Caenorhabditis elegans: one gene and its partners. The protein of the gene in region 1 purifies or fractionates together with the protein of each later gene. This does not show direct contact. Each region holds a gene or a part of one and is shown in the gene's direction. Other genes may lie near its edges.

Region 1 (4,046 bases):
CAAATTCTTGATAGAGTGTGAGTACTTCTCAACAAGAATACATCACGAACTTATCTCATTATTTCAGATCTCCTGTTTACAAAGATCAAACTGCTCAAAGTCTATATGTGTTATTTTTGAATCACATGTCAAAACTCGCAATCACCGTCTATGGTAGTTTTGGATGCAATTTATCCCGTCAAAGAGATCGTCTTGAGATGGCCATTGAAGATCTTGGTCAAATCCATTCATATGCTGGACGACTGGAAGAGCGAACTGATGAAGTATTGCTTAGCGGAAAAATGGTTACTGGTAAGATAATTTAAAATTAAAAAAATTATGTTAAAAATTATTCTAAATTCCCAGTAATTCCACAAATAAATCATTGCAGCAAAAGAGCAGAACTACTCATATCACTCAGTGGCTACATTTGTGTTTCACAATCTTCTTGCAATCATTAACCATTATTTCGAACTTGGATTTCGAATGGACCTTTACGTTCCTTACGAGTTCCCATACATTTACTGGTTTATTGGTTCAGTTCAAGCACATTGGATGAGAACAACTTTGGAACGGAGTCAAGAAATTCAGCTGAACGTTTATCAAGCAAGTTAGTGAAAACCATCAAATTGTTACAGTTAGGGTTCAAAAAATTTATTGAACAAAGACATGAAGCCGTTTTCTGTTATGCACTTTCCAGATCCACTGAGAGAGACTAAAAACAAAAAACTGTGGGAAGAGAGATGTAAACTTGGAGAAGAGTTGAAACGTCGTGTCGCTGCTCATCAATTCAGTGTTCTCAATCAAATCGCAATTTCAATGATTTCTGATGGAGTTGTGAGACTGACAGTTGTTCTGATTCGTAAAGGAATCATCAAGATGCCGAAGGGTGGAGATGATGCTGAAAAACTAAGATTCGAAAGACGATTCGAACCATTCGACTCACTTGGGCCTCCAGTTCGTGTGGATTACGAACGTTTTAAAAGTGATTCGGGGTAAGCGTTTACTGCGTTTTTAAAAAATGTCATTTTATGGGTATACAAATAATTATTCGCATTTCAGAATTGACCAAATGTATGAAGACAAGATTGAGACACTGATCGATCAAGCTCAGAAAAGTTTCAATGAAGCACGTGAACATCTCGAAAAAATCGATAACTCTGTGGAGCAAAATCGCGAAATGATGTTGGTTGATGCTGTTTGGTCGTTTAAAAATCTTCTTATTTCCAGGCAATTGATCCACGTGGCGAAATCGAACATTATTGCTTGCAGAGTTCTGAAACTTGATTTGACGGACAGAAATGTCGTTTGGTCGTTTTCAGAAGAGATTCCAATGTTTCCATGTCTAAAAATTAGCAAAAAGTGATGACAACTCTACTCTTGTTTGCCAATTATTGCTGCGATCTCTCCAACAGTCACAATCCATCAGTAGATTCAGAAATATTCAAGAATCATCTCAATAGAATGCCATAAGTCCCCCGTGTTTTTCTTTCATGTATTTTATATAATCAGCTAAATAATTATTCATATTTCGATTTTTGTTTTCATATTTTATTGATTGAGTAATTCAGACTAGTGAACCCCGCCTCCCCGTCTTCTTTCCTTTCATAGCACACGAATTTTCTCGGTTGGTACAGTACATTCACATTGTTCTCAGAGATATCGAAATACATTTCAAATCAAATTTTATGCTTCTATGAACTTGTTTGTTTTCAGTTTGCAAAATATCTTTGAATTATCGATTCTTTGGTTTCTGTATCCAAATTGATTATTACTTATTTTCTAACTTACTAGTTACTTACCATGTTTTCTTTCAACACGAATTTCCAGATGAGACGAGTTGTAGCAGCTGCAATCCGTACAGAAAGAGCCTTCTCGACACGATTTTCCGCGTCGCAGCAGGTAACCATTTACCAAAAATATAATTTAGAATTCTTTGTTTCCAGAAACCAGTTGCATCTACTTCATCATCGTCGTCTGTTCCGGATCGTGCAACTCTTGAAAAAGGAACAGTCCAGCCAACAGTGTTGAAGCCATTCGTTTCCGCGTCACTTCAACATGAAGATTTATTTAATTTTGAAAAAATGGTCCATATCGATGAGATGTTTAAAGCAAGACTTCACTACGGACATAAGGTAGTCTATTTAAAGAAAGGCGGTTCTAACTGTTAAAAAAAATGAATGAAATACGTTTAAAAGTCGATTTCCCAATTTTCTTTTCTTCGAAAATTGCACTGGAAAATTACGAAAAAAACTTCGGGATTTTTTCGCATTTTTTAAAATTTATTTTAAGCTTGAGAAGTTGAATTAACAACTAATATAATTTTTTTTAGGTCGGAACAGTAAACAACAATATGAAGTGGGCCCTGTACGGTGAACGTCTTGGAGTTTGCCTCTTCGACCTCGATATTACCAAAAAATATCTCGTCAGAGCTCTAAATTTCGTTGCTCATGTGTCATTGCGCGGTGGAATGATTCTTTTTGTCACTTCCAATCGAGACACCATGTTTGATGTTGAGAAGGCAGCAGATGAGGTGAGACAGTGTGCATGGTGGTGTAGGGGTGAGAACACCAATCTATTGGAAAATGATTCATGGTTCGAGTTTTCATAACAGCAGTGATGTGAACATACTTTGATCCGATAATTAATAATCTTGCGAGATTATTTGTTTCTGCGGAATTTGCGATCCTGAGCTGTTTTTTTTTATTCAGAAAATATTCACCATTGTTTTCTAGTTGTGAATGTTACTGTAAAAATGTATGTCTTTTAAACAGTAATCTTTAAAAATCAAGCAAAAAAATTTTACAAAAAAAAATTTGAAAAGGTGTTATTTTCCAGGTTGGGCAATACTCTCACGTTCGAAAGTGGCAATCAGGAACTCTAACGAACACTCGACAACTTCTCGGAGCTTCAGTTCGACTTCCAGATGCTGTCTGCTTCCTGTCAACCCTCACATCACTCGGCGAAAACCATCCAGCCATCGTTGAAGCCGCAAAAATGGCGATTCCCACAATTGGAGTAGTTGACTCGAATTCGGATCCGGCTTACTTGACATATTTGGTTCCTGCAAACGATGATACACCACAATCCACTGAATATTTGCTCAGAATGTTCAAGGAAGCCGTTCGAAAAGGACAAGAAGAACGAAAACGTCAGCAGCAAGGAAAATAAATTTTAATTTTTAGTATTTAGTTTCAAGATTTCAAAATTTTTGATTAGATCTTTTGTTTTCCTTGTTTTCTGATTGTTTCTTCATTTTCTAAATATCCAGTTGTTTACCTATTTAAAAAATCAAAATATTGCTTTCAAATCGTAATTTTGAATCACTACTGTAAACGAACAGTGTTAGAACATATCTTTCTTTTTTTTTGGTTTTTTAAAATTATTTATACACCTTATCCCTTTTCAGATGCTCTCCAGGCAGCTGCGTTTTTTAATTTCAAGTCGAGCATTCTCATCGGCTGTTCAGGATGTTTCCTCGACTTCATCTGGCGAATCCATCGATACACGAAGAGAATTATGGCGAAAACCAGAAAATCCATTCATCAAAACTCCACAAGCTTGGGTTTCAAATTTGGATACCATCGAAGATGAGAAGCTCGGACTCGTGGATCTCCATCCAGACATTTTCAGAACATCACCGCGTATCGATATTCTACACCGTAACCTCACGTGGCAAAGTGTATATCGAAATGTGCAAATGACGAAAATGTTGACAAAAGCTGAAATGCCCGGAGGGGGTAGAAAGCCGTGGCCTCAAAAGAAGACTGGACGGGCTCACGTTGGTTCTATTCGTTCCCCACAATTTATTCGAGGAGGTTTCGCAAATGGTGTTCGTGGACCGAGAACGTGGTTCTACATGCTTCCAGACGCAGTCAGAATTCAGGGACTTTGTGTTGCTCTCACTCTAAAGCACACACAAGACGATTTGCATATTGTTGACAAAATTCAAAACTTACAGAATGGAGACCCTAAATATTGGATTGATGTAAGTTATCTATAGAAAAATCATTTTCTGTTTTAATTTCAAAAATTCCAGCTTTGCGAAGCTCGAAACTACGGATACT
Region 2 (7,635 bases), 1.2 Mb from region 1:
CTTTCAGGTACTGATGGAGACATAATTTGAATAGATATTTCTAGAAATGAAAACCTTGCAGTTGAATATTTGAATTGAAATATTGGATATCAAGAAATTACAACATTTAAAAAAATCAAATCAAAATGGCAAAACATTCAGAGAAATGAGTTTGCTTGTATTACTTGGTTTTAAAGGCGCATGACTCTTTGAGATTACTCTATTGAAAATTTTTGAAACGTGAGAATTTCTAGTTCGCAAATTCGTAATAAATTTGATTAAAAAATATGTTGAATGTATCTAATTCACAGTTGCAATATTTTTTCTTACTATTATTTTCCATTGTATCTGAAAAATTAACAAGTTTCTCATTTTCATTACTACATAGTCATCGTGAAATTTCAAACACTAAATATATTTTTTCCAAGTAATTTTTGATTCCAATTCTTAATTATATTGATGAACAGATAGTTATTTTTGGGCCAGGAAAATAAAATTCAATGTAGCAATATATATTTGCATCAACGGAGCTCAACACCATTATATATCCTTATTTTCCCTGAATTGCCTTTATTGTGCTCGGTTGTAGCTACACTTGTAGACCCACGTCATCTGTCCACACCGCCTACTCGTTTGATCTTCTTTCCCGCGCATTCGATCTCTAAGTCACTCAATCTCCTATGCTATTTTAGTGAATCACGCACATGCAATAGCATTTGCTCACAATTGCAGACACTCAGTTACTGTGAGACAGGCAATATAATGGCCCTTCGGGATATCGAGTGTTGTCTAGAATGAGGTAAGTTGTGAGAAGATAGGAAGACAACGAAGTAAGATAAAGGAATTGTATTTGACTAAAAAATGAAATATCAATTTGATAAAAATATGTTTTGAAACTGTAAATTAATTTAATACATTGTTTTCTTTGACAGATCTTTGCATGTTCAATCAGTTTCTGATCTGAAACTTTCAGCTGAAAAGTATAGACGAATAAATAGTCAAATTTAAGTAAATTGATAATCTTAGATAGACCTAAAAAAGTAAAGTGAACCAATTCACGATTCGGTACGTTTCTGCCATAGAATACAACTCATTTCTTAAAATGATATAGAACAATACTTTAAAGAGTTATTCTAAAGAGTTCTAAGAGTTATTAAGAGATATTACTCTAAAGAGTTACTAAAGAGTATTCAATCTGAACCTTAAAGGAACATTAAAACTGAAGAAGATTATTTTGTTATTCGTTCTATCATTACTACAATCTTGCTCTTTTGATCTCTTGTCTCATGAGTATTTTGGTAGTTCAATCTGACAATTAACAAATTGTTATGCAGGATATTCGCAAATTTGGCAATCCTTATCATATCAATTACCGTCAAAGGTGGAACATACCATGTTTGAAACGAAATGAAGTCAATTGGAACATATAGAACGGTTACAGTATGCTCGATAAAGTATAATTTGATAAACTTTATTTTGTAAAACTATTGTATCAATCATCTACGGCATTAATCCTCAACCTTGAAAATAGATATGAAAGTAAAGTTGACAAGGCACAAAATTGGAACATAGTGATCGAAAATAAAGATATCTATTAATTGGAAATTGTTCGGCGAGGGGCTCTTCGAAACATTTACTGGGGTTTTATGAAAGTTTCTTCTAAAAAACATAATTTAAGATTGAGAGGTGCTCTCAATCAATTCAATATTTTCAAAGAAATAATCATATTCTGTGAAATCAACACTTAAATTATACATTTTTTCATATCTTTTAAAAAATGGAGTTGTATTTACAGGATTTAATGAGATTGTTGAGAGTGACGTCACTGACGAGCAGATATGTTTCAAACATGAACTAATTAGTTTCTAGTATAGTTTTGCCTAGTTTCTTATATATTAAGCAGAAACAACGGACCAGTTCTTCAGCTTCTGAGAGTAGATTATATCTTAGGAGCATACATGAGCACTGTATGTACCTTCTTTGTCTAACTTTCTTTGAGTATCTAAGTCTCTTCAGGTTCTATATCCATCATTCAACCAAATGACACTGCAGGGATGCCTATCTCCTGACTGAACCCACCAGTCGTCTCTTGCTCATATTCCTCCTACCTTCTGCTTCTATTTTCTCAGCGCATCTTGTCCACCTACAGTAGTAAATCTCCTCCCTTTCCTTACGTTGCATTATGAGATATCTCCCAATTTTTGTGTTTCTCGGATCATTTGGCTATACGGAAACTACATTAACAAAGGAACTTATCAAAGATGCAGCTGAGAAATGCTGTACAAGAAACCGTCAAGAATGTTGCATTGAAATTATGAAATTTGGGTGAACCGCTTTTACGAGCACGAACAATGCGATAATCGGTATAATTTAGAACCCCAATTCGATGTGGTTATGACAGGGATCCGAAGCTACCCGGATATGTCTACAAATGTCTTCAAAATGTGTTGTTTGCAAAAGAACCAAAGAAAAAGATTAACTTGGATGGTGAGCGTTTTTTTTTCAGGTAAAATTCTCCTCACAAGCCAAGATATCAAGTTTTGTTTATTCTTAAGAAATATAGGAAATGACTAATACGGTATGTACAAGTTAGTTTTAACTTGAGGAAAATCGAGAAACCGGTGGCATAGCGCCCGCCCGTGAGGTCATTGATTGGCCGGAGGCAGAAAGACCACACGCATTGAAAAGTCACAATATCTTTTCTGCCTCTTTCATTCGTATACTCTTTGGAAATTTTCAATAATTTTGAACATTTTTTTTTTAATATTCTTGCCTCAAATTGTTTTGAAAAAAATCAAAGTAAATCATCAGAGGCTTCTCTGATTTCAAAATAATAGTTAGAACGTAAGTAAAGAGAGAGCGTTTGAAATTTTTCATGAGTAAGATTATTATTACTACTTATCTTTAACTATTTGAAATTTAAAAATGGCATGCAATGTATGGGAGAAATATTTGAAGAAAGCGCCCAAGACTTCAAGAATATCTGAATTTGAGGAGTTATATCACAAAAACTGAGCCTGCAACCTATACTAAAAAGTATACCAAAACAAAGATAAAATTAAAGTCTTTGTTTCTGAGTATTTATTATCATTTGAAAAATTATTTAATAACACGTAAAACGTCTTCAAACTAACCCCAATTTAGAATGTTCGCGCTCTCTCTTGCTGAAATCAATTATAACTATGATAGAATGATTATTCGAATAATTCATAAGGGCTATTATTTTTTCACTTTAAATTATAAAACGAATACTTTACCAATTTTGAAACAAAGTTTCTGCCAATGTGAAATTAAACTGGAAATTGAAGTTTCACCGCTAAGTTCGAAAGCAAATGTTGGGCATTTCCATAATCCGAGTTACAGCAGAACGAGATGTTATCATATAGTAAAAAAATTGTTCAAACATTTTTCGATATTTTAGAAATTAGAAAAAATGCAGTACGATGACGTAGACAATGGTAAGAGGAGGAAGATAGTGCGTATGTGTGCGCAGAGAGGTACAAGGCTTCGGGCATTGGGCAGTCGCCACCATACGCTCGATCGATATATTCAAAGTCGGTCAGGCTTTTAACAATTTGAAGCTTACTGATATCAGTAAATTTGTGATAAATGTCAAGGATACCGTGTCTTTGAAGCAACTTAAGCTCTCTATAGTTTCCTGATTTGATTTCACTTCAACATACTACATTTCCAGTTATTGATAACACTTATCAACTAGCATTTAAACATTTTCTCATATCTATAATAATGTTTGATTTCCTGTAAATAGTTTCCTCTTCCATTTCGAATTGTAATATTTCCCTCAATAACATTGGAACCTTGTTCAACTAAATAGGGATCACTTTGACAACACCTAAAGCATCTACAAAAAATTTTTGGTAATGTAACAACCAAGTTTTCTAAAAGAATTTGACATGCTCTATTTGTTAGAAAAACTTTTTGATTATGTTTCAGGCTCAGTTTTTGAGATATTCAACTCTAAAGTTGCAACTTGTTCTAGGTGGTCCGTTCAATTGTCCTAGGGTTGTGCAGGCAATTGGTATTGCGCAGGGAGAATAGACGGACCCTTGTGTCTTGCGTACCACCTGTCATCATGTTTCGAGAGTAGATATTCTTCAAACCCTCAAACTATTTAGAAATATATTTTTTAGCCTCAAAAAGTTACGTTTTTCGTTCAGAATTCTATTAGGGCTACGTTTTAACATAAGTTTTAAAATAGGCTTCTTTATTTGTTTTTGAGATATTCATGGCCAAAAAAAAACTTTACAGTATTGAATTTGGCTCTAATATTTTTCAATACTTGTTCTCTACAATGTTAAAAAAAAATTAATTTCGCCTACTCATTTGATCATTTAATAGATTTATGAAAACATAAAAATTATGATAACAATGTCTTTGAATTCTCTGATAATGTTCATAATTTGTTTTGATCTTTCTCGTGTTATCTCTCCAAGATAAAAGAGTGTTCTACTGCGAGCACTGATACCATATCTTTGCATGTTTATCCTTTTATCAGTTGACTCACTCTTTTGTTAGGTGTATTGATTAGATGGGAGACTCCCCTGCAACAATTGTCCTACAGGAGCAGAGCAGTTGCTTTTTTTCTTTTGACATCTTGCATTTTTCGTTAGAAAGAAAATATTTAAGTGCCGCCGGGAGCAATCTGTTTTATTTACAAATATATCAGAATGCACGGCATCAGCTAATAAATATTGAATAAGTATTTTCTTGTTCTCACCCCTGTACAGTTTGCTTTTCTATTCCTCATTACACCTCCCAATCCAGGTGTGCTTGGTCCTTCATCTTATTAGATCTGCCATACGGTATAGGAATTACGATCTACAGTCGTCATAAAAGAGTCCGCAATACCGTCATGTGTGTCGAGTTGCAACAAAAGAGTATATGGGAAATGAGAGACTACGGTAAATGAGAGATACCGTAGACGAGATATAATGTAAGAGAGTGGTAGATCAAATGAGATGAAAAACGCGTCGATTAGGTCCATCCAGGAGAAACTAGATTGCGTAGAGCAAACATAGCTGTTTTGACGGGAACAATGTTTTTTGAGACTACAAATATCATAGCTTCAGCTACATCTGAGGTTTTCAAATTTTTCTCGAATAGCTGATAAAGTGAAACTTCATAATGAAGGTAGATATCAGTGCTCAAATAATGTATACCGTATTCCCCGTTATTGTATTAGACCTTATTGTTCAATTTTACCAGCTTATATTTTAGTTAGCGTTTGTTCTATTCAAATATTGCCAATTGAGAAACTATTATTTCTTTTTCAATTGCTTGCAGTTAAAATTTATTGATATCTTTAAAATGAGTTGATAGTGAGATATAAAGCTTTCAATTAAAATAATGTGGTGCAATACTATTAGAGAAAATACAGTAATCTTACTAAACTAAATGCACGCGTGATTAAATCCAAAAAGTACAGAACTTAATTGGTTTATTTAGGTGCGTTCCCCTGAGCAGAAATTGTCTTAATATAAATTAATTTGAAAATCTGAAATTCGAGAAATTTCTACTTTCTGTAAAGTTGTGAATATTCACTAATTTTATTGATAATATGAGGTTTATAGAAAAACTTACAAATGCATTTGACTCACAGAATTGCTATAATTTTACGATTTCCCAGAAGAGACTTTCCCAAAAGAAATCGTTATTTTTGAGGGACAAATTGTCTTAATTATCGATCTATTATTTGCCTCTTCACACGTAAAACATGCCAACACCTGTCTCTTTTGACTCCGCCTCTCTGATTGCCCCGCCCATTTGCCCATCCCACGCCCTAATCTCATATTGTCTTTATTCAGACTCCGTGTGCTGCTCCGTGTTTGGCAACGACCAAAACGATTCTGGAAGAAGATGTGAGAATCGTTGCAAGAACCTCATGACCAGCCCTTCCATCGACGCTGCCACACGTCTGGACAGCATCAAAAGTTGCTCGCTTCTGGATAATGTACTGTATAAAGTGAGTTTTTGTTAACACAGAATTTCAGTTCGCCTATTCTAGTTAGACAAACGGGTAAATTGAAAATATTCGGTGCAATCTGTCTTATGGTTTTTTCAGCTCCTGCCTATTTCAGTACGTAGTCCTAATTTTTCCAGTTTTAAAGAAAGGATCCCTAGTTGACCAAAGCCAAGTTTAAAAATATTAAATTATCTCCAACTCTGTAAAAACGGCTGCGATTTGCAGACTTTTTCTTGGTCCAGGCAAACAATTTTGGAGTTCGTCCCATCCATTCCCTCGTCTATAAAATTCATCCTAAAACGGAGAAAATTAAAAAAAAAATTCAATTGGCAAGCGGAAAATCCGATAGTGGATAGATATCACCCCAAAAATTGTTCGCCTAGGTTGAGATACATTTTTGGAGCAGTGCGTCAGTCCAGGAACCACGTTTTTCAAAGATATCTCATTCGATATTCTAATCGTTCAATTCGAGTTAATCAAGTGTGTCATAAAACAAATTTATTTTTCAGTGTTTTGAGAAATGCCGGAGCCTCCGTAAAGATGGTATCAAAATTGAAGTGCTCCAATTCGAAGAATACTGCAATGCAACGTTTATCCAAAAGCGAACTTTCCGAGGAGTCTGAATCTGGGCTCATTAGCCTAAAACATCCCTAATCCGCCGTTGTCATTATGGCACTCTCCATCATGAGTGGTCCAATTTTTTCTTTTCTTTCTAAACCTTTTTATTTTATTTTTTGTAACACCTCTATGTCTACCTCTTAATCAAAGCTTTGAGCTTTACTCACTTTGAGTTATATTTTTAATCTTGTGTTCTCCTTATGTTGAAGAAAATTTTCGATACGCAACTTGTCATATTGTTGTATATATTTTTAATAGAATTTTTTGAAATGTCCTATTCTTATTGATTTCTTCTTAACATTCTCTTCAAGAATGTTTTCGGATGCGCTCAGATGTCATGAAGGCGCACTACGGTGCGGTCCTGATTTTATTTATTTTTTTTTTCATAAAAAATATATCTTCTCTTGTTGGTTTCTCCTAAAGTTGTCAAATATGAATATTCAAGTACTTTCTACGATCTTTTTTATTGAATAAATTGTTTTATCAACGCACAGAACCCATACGACATAATCAACAAAAAATGATAAGAAAGTGATTTTCGAACTACAAATTTTATCAATTTTTTTTCAATTCTCTGCTTTCTAACAAATTCTAAATTTTATTTGTAATTTTAGTTATTCAAACTGCAAAACGAGCAAAACTTTATTTCTTATCCGTTTTGAAAGATTAATAAACTAAATGTAATGTTGTTTCTCATATTCTGCTTGTTATTTTAAACTGAATAATGCTTTAGAGCTAGCAAGGAAAAATCAATCAATTCATTCGAAATTGATAAAATGGCCATTAAGGTTTTTTTTTAAATTTTATGTGTTAACACATGTGTTGGGTTTCATCATAAACTTGTACTTGGTGGAATTCAAACTATATAAGTTTAGATTTTTTGTAAATCAACACAAGTTACCAAAACTGTTCAGGCGTGATCCGAGTTTGAAGTATGGATTCTGCTAACTTAAGTTTAGAATACAATATAAGAATAAAGTTAAGAAAACAATTAACTCAAGAAATGCCGATGTTCTTAAAAGCAATTTTCAATGTTCAAGCCATAGAATTTAAGT
Region 3 (4,023 bases), on another chromosome or scaffold:
GACCATCAGCGGAACATCTGATTTCCGCAGGATAAAGTGGATGGAAAACCGACTCTGGAGTGAAACAGATCACGTTGGGTGTGACTATTCCGCTTAATGGGTTGAGATTCATTTTGGAAAGCTGAAATTGAAAAAATTATTACAAACAAAAAAACGTCGAGTTTCAATGAAATCAAATATGTTTTACGGTTTGAAATAATTTTTACAAATTTAGTCTAGAACTAACCTTAACTAAAGGTATTCTACTTGTTGTTTGTAGTGAAAGCTTTTCTCTGAGCTCCATGAGTAATAATCCTGACTTGTTTCCGTACAAATGACGGACGCTTTTTGGTGTATTAGTCTCCTCTCCATCCAACATCCATCCCACTAATTTTTCCGGCGTCACGTACGATTTTGTGAGAAGGTGCTGCAGCTCAACTTCAGTTGCTCCACATGTCCATAGAGGGTCACCAAGAGAAGAATCAATGAGAATAGCTGATCCAGTTGAAAGTAGAAGTTGTTGGAGATACTCATTGTGGTAAATCTTATGCTTCATTGCAGATTGACGCCAACGATCCATCTTTGAAGTTTTTTCAGCTATCGTTTCAGGATTTATTTCCAACTTTCTCAGTAGTTTAGATGCAACGACAGGGACGTTCAGAGGAGCAGGTGTTGTTTGAATTTTCTCAATTGCTTTCTCGTCAAGTTTCAGCGAATTAAAAAGCTTCTCATATGCGTAATGCTCTACAGATCGATATCTTTCTCGTTTCATTTCAAACGGAAACGCGTAATAGTTTGAAAGTGGTCGGAATATACCCTGAAATTATGATGATAGTTTAAAAAAATCATGATGATTGAATGCTTACCTCCAAACTTATTACAAGATCATTAATTGAAATCATAATTGGTTCATCATCTTTATCAGTCGATAATCCGGCTACTTCCACTACAGGACGTGTCAATATCCCTTGCTTCTTCCTTTCTCGAATCTCAAACCTCAGCCACATTAAATATTGTCTAAATTTTTAATGTTTAAGAAAATCTCGTTTCTCATATTTCTTGCCCTAGTTTATTTTGACCCAAATCAGCTGGTTTAGTGTGCTCATTTTTCATCCAGTAGGATATTTGTCTCGAATCTGCCTTTTCTTTGGCCATCCACTCCATGAACGTTTTATCGTTCATTCCTATACCAAGTTGAGGGTTTTTCTCATCACAGACAATCAAGAGGGCTTCATTGGTCTTCATAAGAGTCTTTTCGAAGTCTGCATGTTTTTCAAGCATATTAGATTCTATTTCTTACTTATAAAAGCTCACCTTTATCACTTTCTGCTCGGAGTTGCAGTGCATGAATTGAATATGAACGAAGACTTTCTGAGAGATATGCTGCCAATGAATTTATTGTATGGCCGTCTGGCATATTTTCTTGGAGAATAACAAGCGCTTTTTGGTGAACATCGCAACTGTTCGTACATAAAAGTTCTTCAACTGCCGTTTCGGGTAGATTTAAAGACATAAGAATTTGATAATGAGTGTAGTGAGCGGCACTGGGATATCTGCAAGTTTAATCATTGTTGCAATCTATAAGTCACTTCAGTTCTCACCTTTTTCCGCCAGCTCTAAGTGCAAAATTGTATCCACAGTGTAGGAGATCTGATTCATTTCCAATTAACACAATTTTCTCTTCATCCATGTTTGATCCTTAAAAACGGAATTGAGAAAGAAATCAATAAATAGTTGATTAATCACCAGGCAAAGCAGTTCAAACAACTAGTGCAAACTTCAAAAGAAAATGAGATGTTCAGAATTAAAAAACTGGTAAAAATAAAGAAAACTGTTCAACTTCGAAGAAATTATTCAAAAAATTCGTTCGGTGACTAGGGTAAAAAAGAGGCAATTAAAGGCGCATGCCATTTTTCGGTCTCATGGTCTTGCGGTGACGTACGCAGCCAATTGGCCTGGCCGTTGACTGAGTATTCAACGCTTCAACGATAAACGTTGAAAGCAACTAAATTTCTTTTCGATTTTTGCCTGAAATTTTTGAATTTTTCGCGTGAAACTGGATTTTTAACATGTTTTGTATAAAAATTGAAAAAATTCACATGTTTCAATGTATATTTTGTATTAAAACATGTTTTTATATTAATGTAGTTTTTAGTTACGTAATTTAGGGTTTTCTTAACAAAAACCTTGCCCAAAATACTTTTTTTTCAAATATATTTCTTGTGTTTTGTTCGGATTATAACTCTTTTCTATCAATATCTTCGCTAATATTAATATTCAAATTTTCAGCTTTCGTCAAACAGTGGGCAACATGGCTGCCAATCAAAACGTGACCAAGAAGAAGAAGGCCGTCATCGGCGGAATCTTCAAGGCTGAGCTTAACAACTTCCTGATGAAGGAGCTTGCTGAGGATGGATACTCCGGAGTCGAGGTAAAATTATTAATCAAAAATATAGCATTTAAGCTTCAAGTTTTGCAGGTTCGCAGTACCCCAGCCAGAGCTGAGGTCATCATCATGGCGACCCGCACCCAAAACGTTTTGGGAGAGCGAGGACGCAGAATTAAGGAGCTCACCTCGGTTGTCCAAAAGAGATTCGGATTCGAGGAGGGATCCGTCGAGGTAAAAATACATTTATTGAAAAATAAAATACATTTAACTTTTTAGCTCTACGCCGAGAAGGTTTCCAACAGAGGACTCTGCGCTGTCGCTCAGTGCGAATCCCTCAGATACAAGCTCGTCGGAGGTCTTGCCGTCCGTCGTGCTTGCTACGGAGTTCTCCGTTTCATCATGGAGTCTGGAGCTCAAGGAGTTGAGGTATGATTACTTTATTTTAATAGACAAAAAATTTAACTTTATTGCATCTAATATTCGAAACTTGTATTATATGGAATTTGTATTCATTAAAAATTATAGGTTATCGTCTCTGGAAAGCTTCGTGGACAGCGTGCTAAGGCCATGAAGTTCGTTGATGGACTCATGATTCACTCTGGACACCCAGTCAACGACTACATCCAACAAGCCGTCAGACACGTTCAACTCCGTCAGGGTCAGTGATTTTTTACGGGGAAGATTTGGTTAAGAAAGGATTTTTGATCGCAAAAAACATGTCGTTCGAAAAGTTTAGATGTTGCTTTTCAGTTTTTTAATTTTAAAAATCAAGTTTAAAAATTTGTATTACTATTTTGTAAGTTTCCATCTTCATTTTTTTATTTTCAGGAGTCATCGGTATCAAGGTCAAGATCATGCTTCCATACGACCCACGCGGACAGAACGGACCAAGAAACGCCCTCCCAGACCACGTCCAAATCGTCGAGCCACAAGAGGAAGTCCTTCCAAAGGAACCACACAGCCAGCACAAGGAGGAGAAGAAGGATGTTCAAGTCCCAGCAGCTCAACCAGTTGCTCCAGTTCAATAAACTGTTGTTACATACCCAATAAATTGTTGGTTAATTGTTACTCGTTATTTTCAGTGTAATGATATTTAAAGTTTACAATCAACGTACTTTCAAAAATCGAAAGGGAGGAGTCTAGGAAACTGTTTCGTTGCAGAACCCCCAATTACATAAACGCGACACGCCGGTGATAAGGGTGACCTCGGTGTCTCATATCGTCGCGCTTCTCTTCATTTCGTTTCATTTCATTTCTCCTCTTTGCAACTTTTAACCCCTTCAAAAATGTACGTCTTCTCTTTTTCGGTTCTTCTTGCCGTTCTAACAATGCCGATGCTTCCACCAGTTGCAAATGCGCTTAAACGGTCTGAAACAGGCGCAGAGGAGACTTCAGAGCAAGATGCGGTCAAGTTAGTTGGTAGAAAATGTGGTGGTGGAGGCATTTTGTCAACTTTTTCATTTATTTTCAATCTTATTTCTAAAGAAAACTGACTAATACAACTGTTCAGGAGAACCAAAGTGCTCGACATGGCTCAAAAAGTGACCCGTCAAATCATCAGCTCCGCAAATGCTCCAGGAGCTATCGGACCATACAGGTATTCAAGAAATTATATTATTTTCTACCACAACATTCCTCTGAAAATAAGCAATCAA
Region 4 (5,097 bases), on another chromosome or scaffold:
GATTCTCGGAACTCTCGTTTGCATGGCAATGGTGTGCTTTGTTTTCCTGAACAATTGGTTTACTGTAGCTATTGCCTCACTCTCCGTTTTGTCAATTTGTGCTGGAATTCTAGGATTTTTGTCATGGTGGAAAGTGGATTTAGATCCAATCACAATGGCTGCAATGATTATCTCCATTGGGTTCTCTGTCGATATTCCCGCTCACGTATCATATCATTACTATCAAGCTTGTTAGTTTTTTGTTATGATATATCCTGGAGAGTAATAGTTAATTTCAGCAATACAAGAAGGACCCATGTCTCCGCCATCATCTCGTCTTGCAAACTGTCTATCTTCTGTTGCATTCCCAGCATTGCAGGCAGCGTTGTCCACAATTTTGTGTGTCTGCAGTCTATTATTTGTTAACCTGTATATGGCAGAAGTGAGATTTTAGTATTCAAATTTTCAATCAAAACCACTCTTTTCAAGGTATTCGTGAAAACCATGGTGTTATGTGTAGTACTGTGCAATCTTCATGGTCTCGTGTTCTTACCTGCTATCTTGATTCTTTTGGATTCTATTCGATGGGCTTGTAGGCCTAAGGGTAAGAATTCACAAATGATTATTTTCTTGAGACAAAGAAAATTTAAGGTGCTGCTGCACAACGTCCAAAGCAGCCAAAAACCAATTCTCGCCAGAAACAGAAAAACGACAAAGTTCAGCCGGAAAAGAGTGTGGTCACTGATCGACCGGAAATCTAAAAAAAACCATTAATTATATTTCTTTTTAACTTCTCCACCTATTAATCTCATGACACAAACCTCTGTTCCATTTGAGTTTCCCGTTTCCTTCCAGTTTTCTGAAAATATTCGTCCCCACCAAAAAGTCCGGGTTTTTATAGTGTTGCCCAAGTTTTCATTTTTCGTGTTTTTTGTTTTTGTGTACATTTTGTGCTTTGCTGATCATACCTATTAGAAATTTTCAAAGTGAAGAATTGATTTTTTTCCGGTGATTTTCCGACATCTTCTTGAGTTTCATTTTGCCAAGCTAGAAATAAAAGCATTGAAAATATACTTGAAAACAAACGGAAAGGTTTTTAGATTTCAAACAATAAAAATAAAATCTAATATCATAGTGAATTTTCAAAAAATCTTGCAGTAAATATTGTAGCTGTTCCAGAAAATGTTGAAGCGTGCGTGTGCCTAAAGTGATACACTGGATTTACTATAAGGCTGCTGCAGCAAAAACAAGTCCCTGATGAAACTCAACTTCTTCCTTCCTTGAATTTTTATAAATAAAGTGCGTAATGCGTACTATCGTCATTCTTATGTAGCAAAAAGTAGCTATGAAACAACGTTTGAAAAATCTTGAAAAATCTGAAAATCTCAAACTAGTCATGCGTTCAAGTTTCTCTCGCGGTGCTCAAAAATTCATTGGGTAATAATACTCCGACATAAAAAACGAATTTTATGTTCTTCACCTGAATAGGACCAAAAGGGCTTTGTCATACTATTCTCCGTCCGTGGCCGTGTCCATTCTCAGTGTGTTCTTAAACAAACACTGAGAGTCGTGGAATGAAAGACACAGAGGGAGAGAGGGAGATGGCCGATCCTTTCTAAACGCGCACCTCCACACAGAGACACTCGCTCACAATACCGTTCTTCATCTTCGTTTATTTGTGTATGTTGTTCCCTTTCGCACCCTGAGTCTCACAAAAATATTGCACATACTAAACTACTAATCAGTTATTCCATTTATCCTTATCACGATGGACCCAAGCCCGTTGAAGAGAAGAAAAGTAGAGGATGGTGAAGATAGGATTTTGGCAAAATGCGAAAAAGCTGCTGACACTGTTGAAATTGTCGATCTATCGCCAATGCCATTACTAACTGACGAAGCTGGACCTTCAACCTCTACAAATGTTCAAGCATCACAATCACAGGAGCAATTACAACCACAGATGGATTTGAAACTTAGAGTGAGACTTTTATAACTACAGGTGGTGCTAGTTAATAAAAAGGCCTGTAAATTAAATTTTTCCTCGGATGTTTCTTGAATAAAATATAAAAAACTTGAAAGAAAATAATAAAAATCTAGGTCTAACAAACCATTATTTTTGATCGACGCTCATTTCTTTACGAAAATTGGTTATTGTTTGTAGTTTTATATTTCAATTTAATGTTCGGAACAATACAAATACATTTTAAGTAAAATGGAGTTCGATCGTAAACTAAAATTCTGCCAAAATCCGCGACCTTCATAATGCCGCAAAAATTGGAGCATTTGAGAACTTTTAAGTTTAAATTTTGCGTGTACCGCACACTCAGACCAGCCCACAAAAATGCCTGATTAGGGGTTATTGTTAGGTTAGGCGCAGCGAAGTAGGTTGCAAGTACTGGACGTTCTGTAGGTATGAAGGCATACATGAGCCTTTGTACCTGTATGAAATTGGAATTTAACAAGATTATATATTCAGTGAAATCTTCTTACCAATTCACCTACACTTCCAGGAACTCCTTCTTTCTTCACCAGCACATCTATTCGGGCTTCATACCATTCCCGCAAGTGGCTCAAACAGTCAGCAGCCAGACGACAACAACCCTCCACAGGCAGCTGTAACAAGTTGGGAAAACTGGTTATGCTTTTTGGCAACCAACTTATCACCAGCTCAGTGGCAGGTACTTTTTTCCAGATTTTTTTTTCAAAATAGAATCACCTCCCTTAGCGCATAGACGGCAATATTGGGAAAAACTACATTTTTCACAAATTTTTTTTTTTTGACTTTCCACGTGGCGAACAAAAGATAAATTCTAATTTCTAATAGTAAGTTTCACCGAATTTTGAACTTGTTTTAATTTAATTTAAATTCATTTCTGAATGTCATCGGTATCAAACGAAATGTAAGATTTTTCATCCAGTAATTTCAGCAATTATTTTTTTAAAGACATTTTTTTACTGGCGAAATGAGGAAAAACTTCTCAACCCTGATGGAAATAAAGTGTTCTGACAAAACAGAGACTATTGTTGTAACGTGCATTTTGAAGAAATTTATTGCGGGAAAAAATCTCTCAAAACTGCGCAACAATATAATTTTTTATTCCTTCTACCAAAAATAAAATGCAAGTATTTCAGGGCTACTGGCTTGCACATTGTGCATTATTTGGAGATCAAGCAGTTCCCGTTCATCTCCTCAGCTTCTTCCAAGGACACATCTCACCGTCGTCTTCTTCATCGCCAACATCCACGCAATATTTGACAATTGGACCACAACCAAATGACGAGATTCAGGAAAGATATGGTACGCTTTTTAAAAAGATTATTTGATGGGGGATAAGTATGAGAAAGAGTCATAAATAGGTAGGTTATTTTTTGAAAGTATTTATATTATCGTACAATTATCTGCGTATTATTGAACGCCAAATCATTCTGTAACTAGAGTTTGATCGCAATTCATCGAAGTTTTGCTTCAGAACTGTAATATTTCCTTTATTGACGCGAATATAGTTGGAAAATTTGCTAATACAGTCCTTGGTTTCTTTGGTTTCAGTTTGGTTCTATGATAAATATTAATATCTATCGTTTGTCGACTTCTTCCGCTGAGCGAGCATCTGGCAGAAGTAAGCTATGCAATCTCATTTTTGAACGTGCCGTTTTAGTTGTACAATCAATTCACTAGTATTCGAAATCGTGCATCCAACTTTATTATAAAGGGTTTTATCTACATAATATGGATGTAGGTACATTGTTATTTTTGCATTACATTTGAGCTTTTTTTTTGCTTACATTTGAGCATTTGGTTTATCCTGCTATCCTTTCGTGTTTACGCCATATTTTCAAGCTCCTCTCTTTCTTCTTCAGTCTATTTTGCAGAGTTCGGACTTTAAATGTGGGTACCTAAAGTTCATAGTATTATAATTTCCAACAACTCGAACTCCGAAATTCCTTTGCAAGTTCTGACAACTGACTCATTTAGCCTACAATTATAAAAGAGAGGGAGAAAGAGAAGCTGAAATATTTGTCTCCGTTTTTACTTCTTCTTTTTCTTCAATTTCACACCTTGTCTTGGCTGCCCGTGGCAACGTATTTACTCTCACTGCTTTTCATTTTTCTTCCATTTTATTCCTGTCAGGATTTCCCGCTCATAGTCAGTAGAAACATATGGTAGTTTCTATTACTGGTCAATTTTAATTGGTATAATTAATAATAAGTTTAACTCCCGCGCATGTGTATCACTGTTTTATTGGGAAATTGTCTAAATTTGAAAATCCAACAAATATGTTGGTTGGTTTCTAAAATTAAAATGTTTAAAACTCCTTTTACTTGATTTTTTTTTTCAGAAAAGTTGTTTTTTTTCTCTTTAAAAAATCTCCGTCTCTCACTATTTCTCTTATATTTCAAGCAGTCAACCTATGTCAAAATAAACTATCATTAGAGACACTGCTCCTGGAGAGTCACTACCACCACCACCTGCTCTTTTTATTTCTCTCTTGCTTTTCCACATAGGTATTACGAGGGCAACCGGGGGTTAAATAATCGAATCAATCATATGAAATTCCCATATTTGATTTTATTCATGGCCATAAATGGAATTTGTCTAAAAATCGATAAAGTGGATTTTTTATTATCTTATCAAAAAATTTAACCTCAAAACTTGTAGGTAGACACATTTTCTGGGTAACAATCAATTTTTTGTGACTGTAGACACAAGATAAAATAAGTCACCTAAAAAGATGTCAGTAGAAACCACAAGATGAGACATATACCCATAATTCCATCTTAAAAGTGACCCAATTCACGTGCAATTTTAATCACCTTTAATCTCAGAAATTTTATGAGATTTTAAGAAGGTGTGTACTTGAACTTTGTTGTGTGTGTTTGTTGTTGGAATTTTTGATCAAAAAATTTCAAAAAAGCGCTACGTAAAATGGTTAAATTTTAATGTCCAAATCACTTTTGACTGCCAAGGGGAATTCTTCCGTTCTAAATTTTTAAACCCCACAAAAATTTGCTCTCGCGCGATTCTGGCTTCTCTCATAAATAGAAATGTAAGAGTTTGCCGAACTAGGCCATTTTGGCTCGGCCATGTCTGGGGTTGATTTACGGTGCGTTGGGTGTCGC

Evidence for each region.
Region 2: the proteins of mrps-2 (region 1) and her-1 fractionate together in Caenorhabditis elegans (co-fractionation; one large-scale study listed by BioGRID). This does not show direct contact.
Region 3: the proteins of mrps-2 (region 1) and rps-3 fractionate together in Caenorhabditis elegans (co-fractionation; one large-scale study listed by BioGRID). This does not show direct contact.
Region 4: the proteins of mrps-2 (region 1) and kin-1 fractionate together in Caenorhabditis elegans (co-fractionation; one large-scale study listed by BioGRID). This does not show direct contact.

What each region holds. Positions count from the first base shown.
Region 1 is NC_003283.11:8,463,877-8,467,922, forward strand, and holds mrps-2 (Small ribosomal subunit protein uS2m), read left to right. Parts: upstream 1-1,809; coding exon 1,810-1,881; intron 1,882-1,925; coding exon 1,926-2,114; intron 2,115-2,311; coding exon 2,312-2,512; intron 2,513-2,591; exon of another isoform or gene 2,592-2,680; intron 2,681-2,817; coding exon 2,818-3,150; 3' UTR 3,151-3,283; downstream 3,284-4,046. Other genes in the region: natc-1 (Protein MAK10 homolog), read left to right, coding at 1-17, 68-291, 371-589, 680-974, 1,042-1,164, 1,210-1,345; mrpl-4 (Large ribosomal subunit protein uL4m), read left to right, coding at 3,389-3,967, 4,019-4,046.
Region 2 is NC_003283.11:9,694,968-9,702,602, forward strand, and holds her-1 (Protein her-1), read left to right. Parts: upstream 1-2,047; 5' UTR 2,048-2,161; coding exon 2,162-2,304; intron 2,305-2,353; coding exon 2,354-2,466; intron 2,467-5,802; exon of another isoform or gene 5,803-5,804; coding exon 5,805-5,962; intron 5,963-6,471; coding exon 6,472-6,585; 3' UTR 6,586-7,068; downstream 7,069-7,635. UniProt on the Caenorhabditis elegans protein: Dictates male development. Probably plays a direct role in cell signaling during C.elegans sex determination. Inhibits the function of tra-2a.
Region 3 is NC_003281.10:6,204,535-6,208,557, forward strand, and holds rps-3 (Small ribosomal subunit protein uS3), read left to right. Parts: upstream 1-2,268; 5' UTR 2,269-2,290; coding exon 2,291-2,410; intron 2,411-2,458; coding exon 2,459-2,599; intron 2,600-2,644; coding exon 2,645-2,794; intron 2,795-2,893; coding exon 2,894-3,026; intron 3,027-3,196; coding exon 3,197-3,396; 3' UTR 3,397-3,431; downstream 3,432-4,023. Other genes in the region: sna-3 (NADAR domain-containing protein), read right to left, coding at 1-121, 227-796, 846-996, 1,043-1,241, 1,294-1,532, 1,581-1,669; RutC family protein C23G10.2, read left to right, coding at 3,697-3,779, 3,879-3,965.
Region 4 is NC_003279.8:14,912,033-14,917,129, forward strand, and holds the start of kin-1 (cAMP-dependent protein kinase catalytic subunit), read left to right. Parts: upstream 1-1,733; 5' UTR 1,734-1,747; coding exon 1,748-1,957; intron 1,958-2,489; coding exon 2,490-2,657; intron 2,658-3,111; coding exon 3,112-3,277; intron 3,278-5,097. Other genes in the region: ptr-23 (SSD domain-containing protein), read left to right, coding at 1-230, 279-421, 469-583, 631-740. UniProt on the Caenorhabditis elegans protein: Essential for larval development. Controls the rhythmic contraction of enteric muscles probably by regulating G-protein coupled receptor aex-2-mediated calcium influx in GABAergic DVB neurons.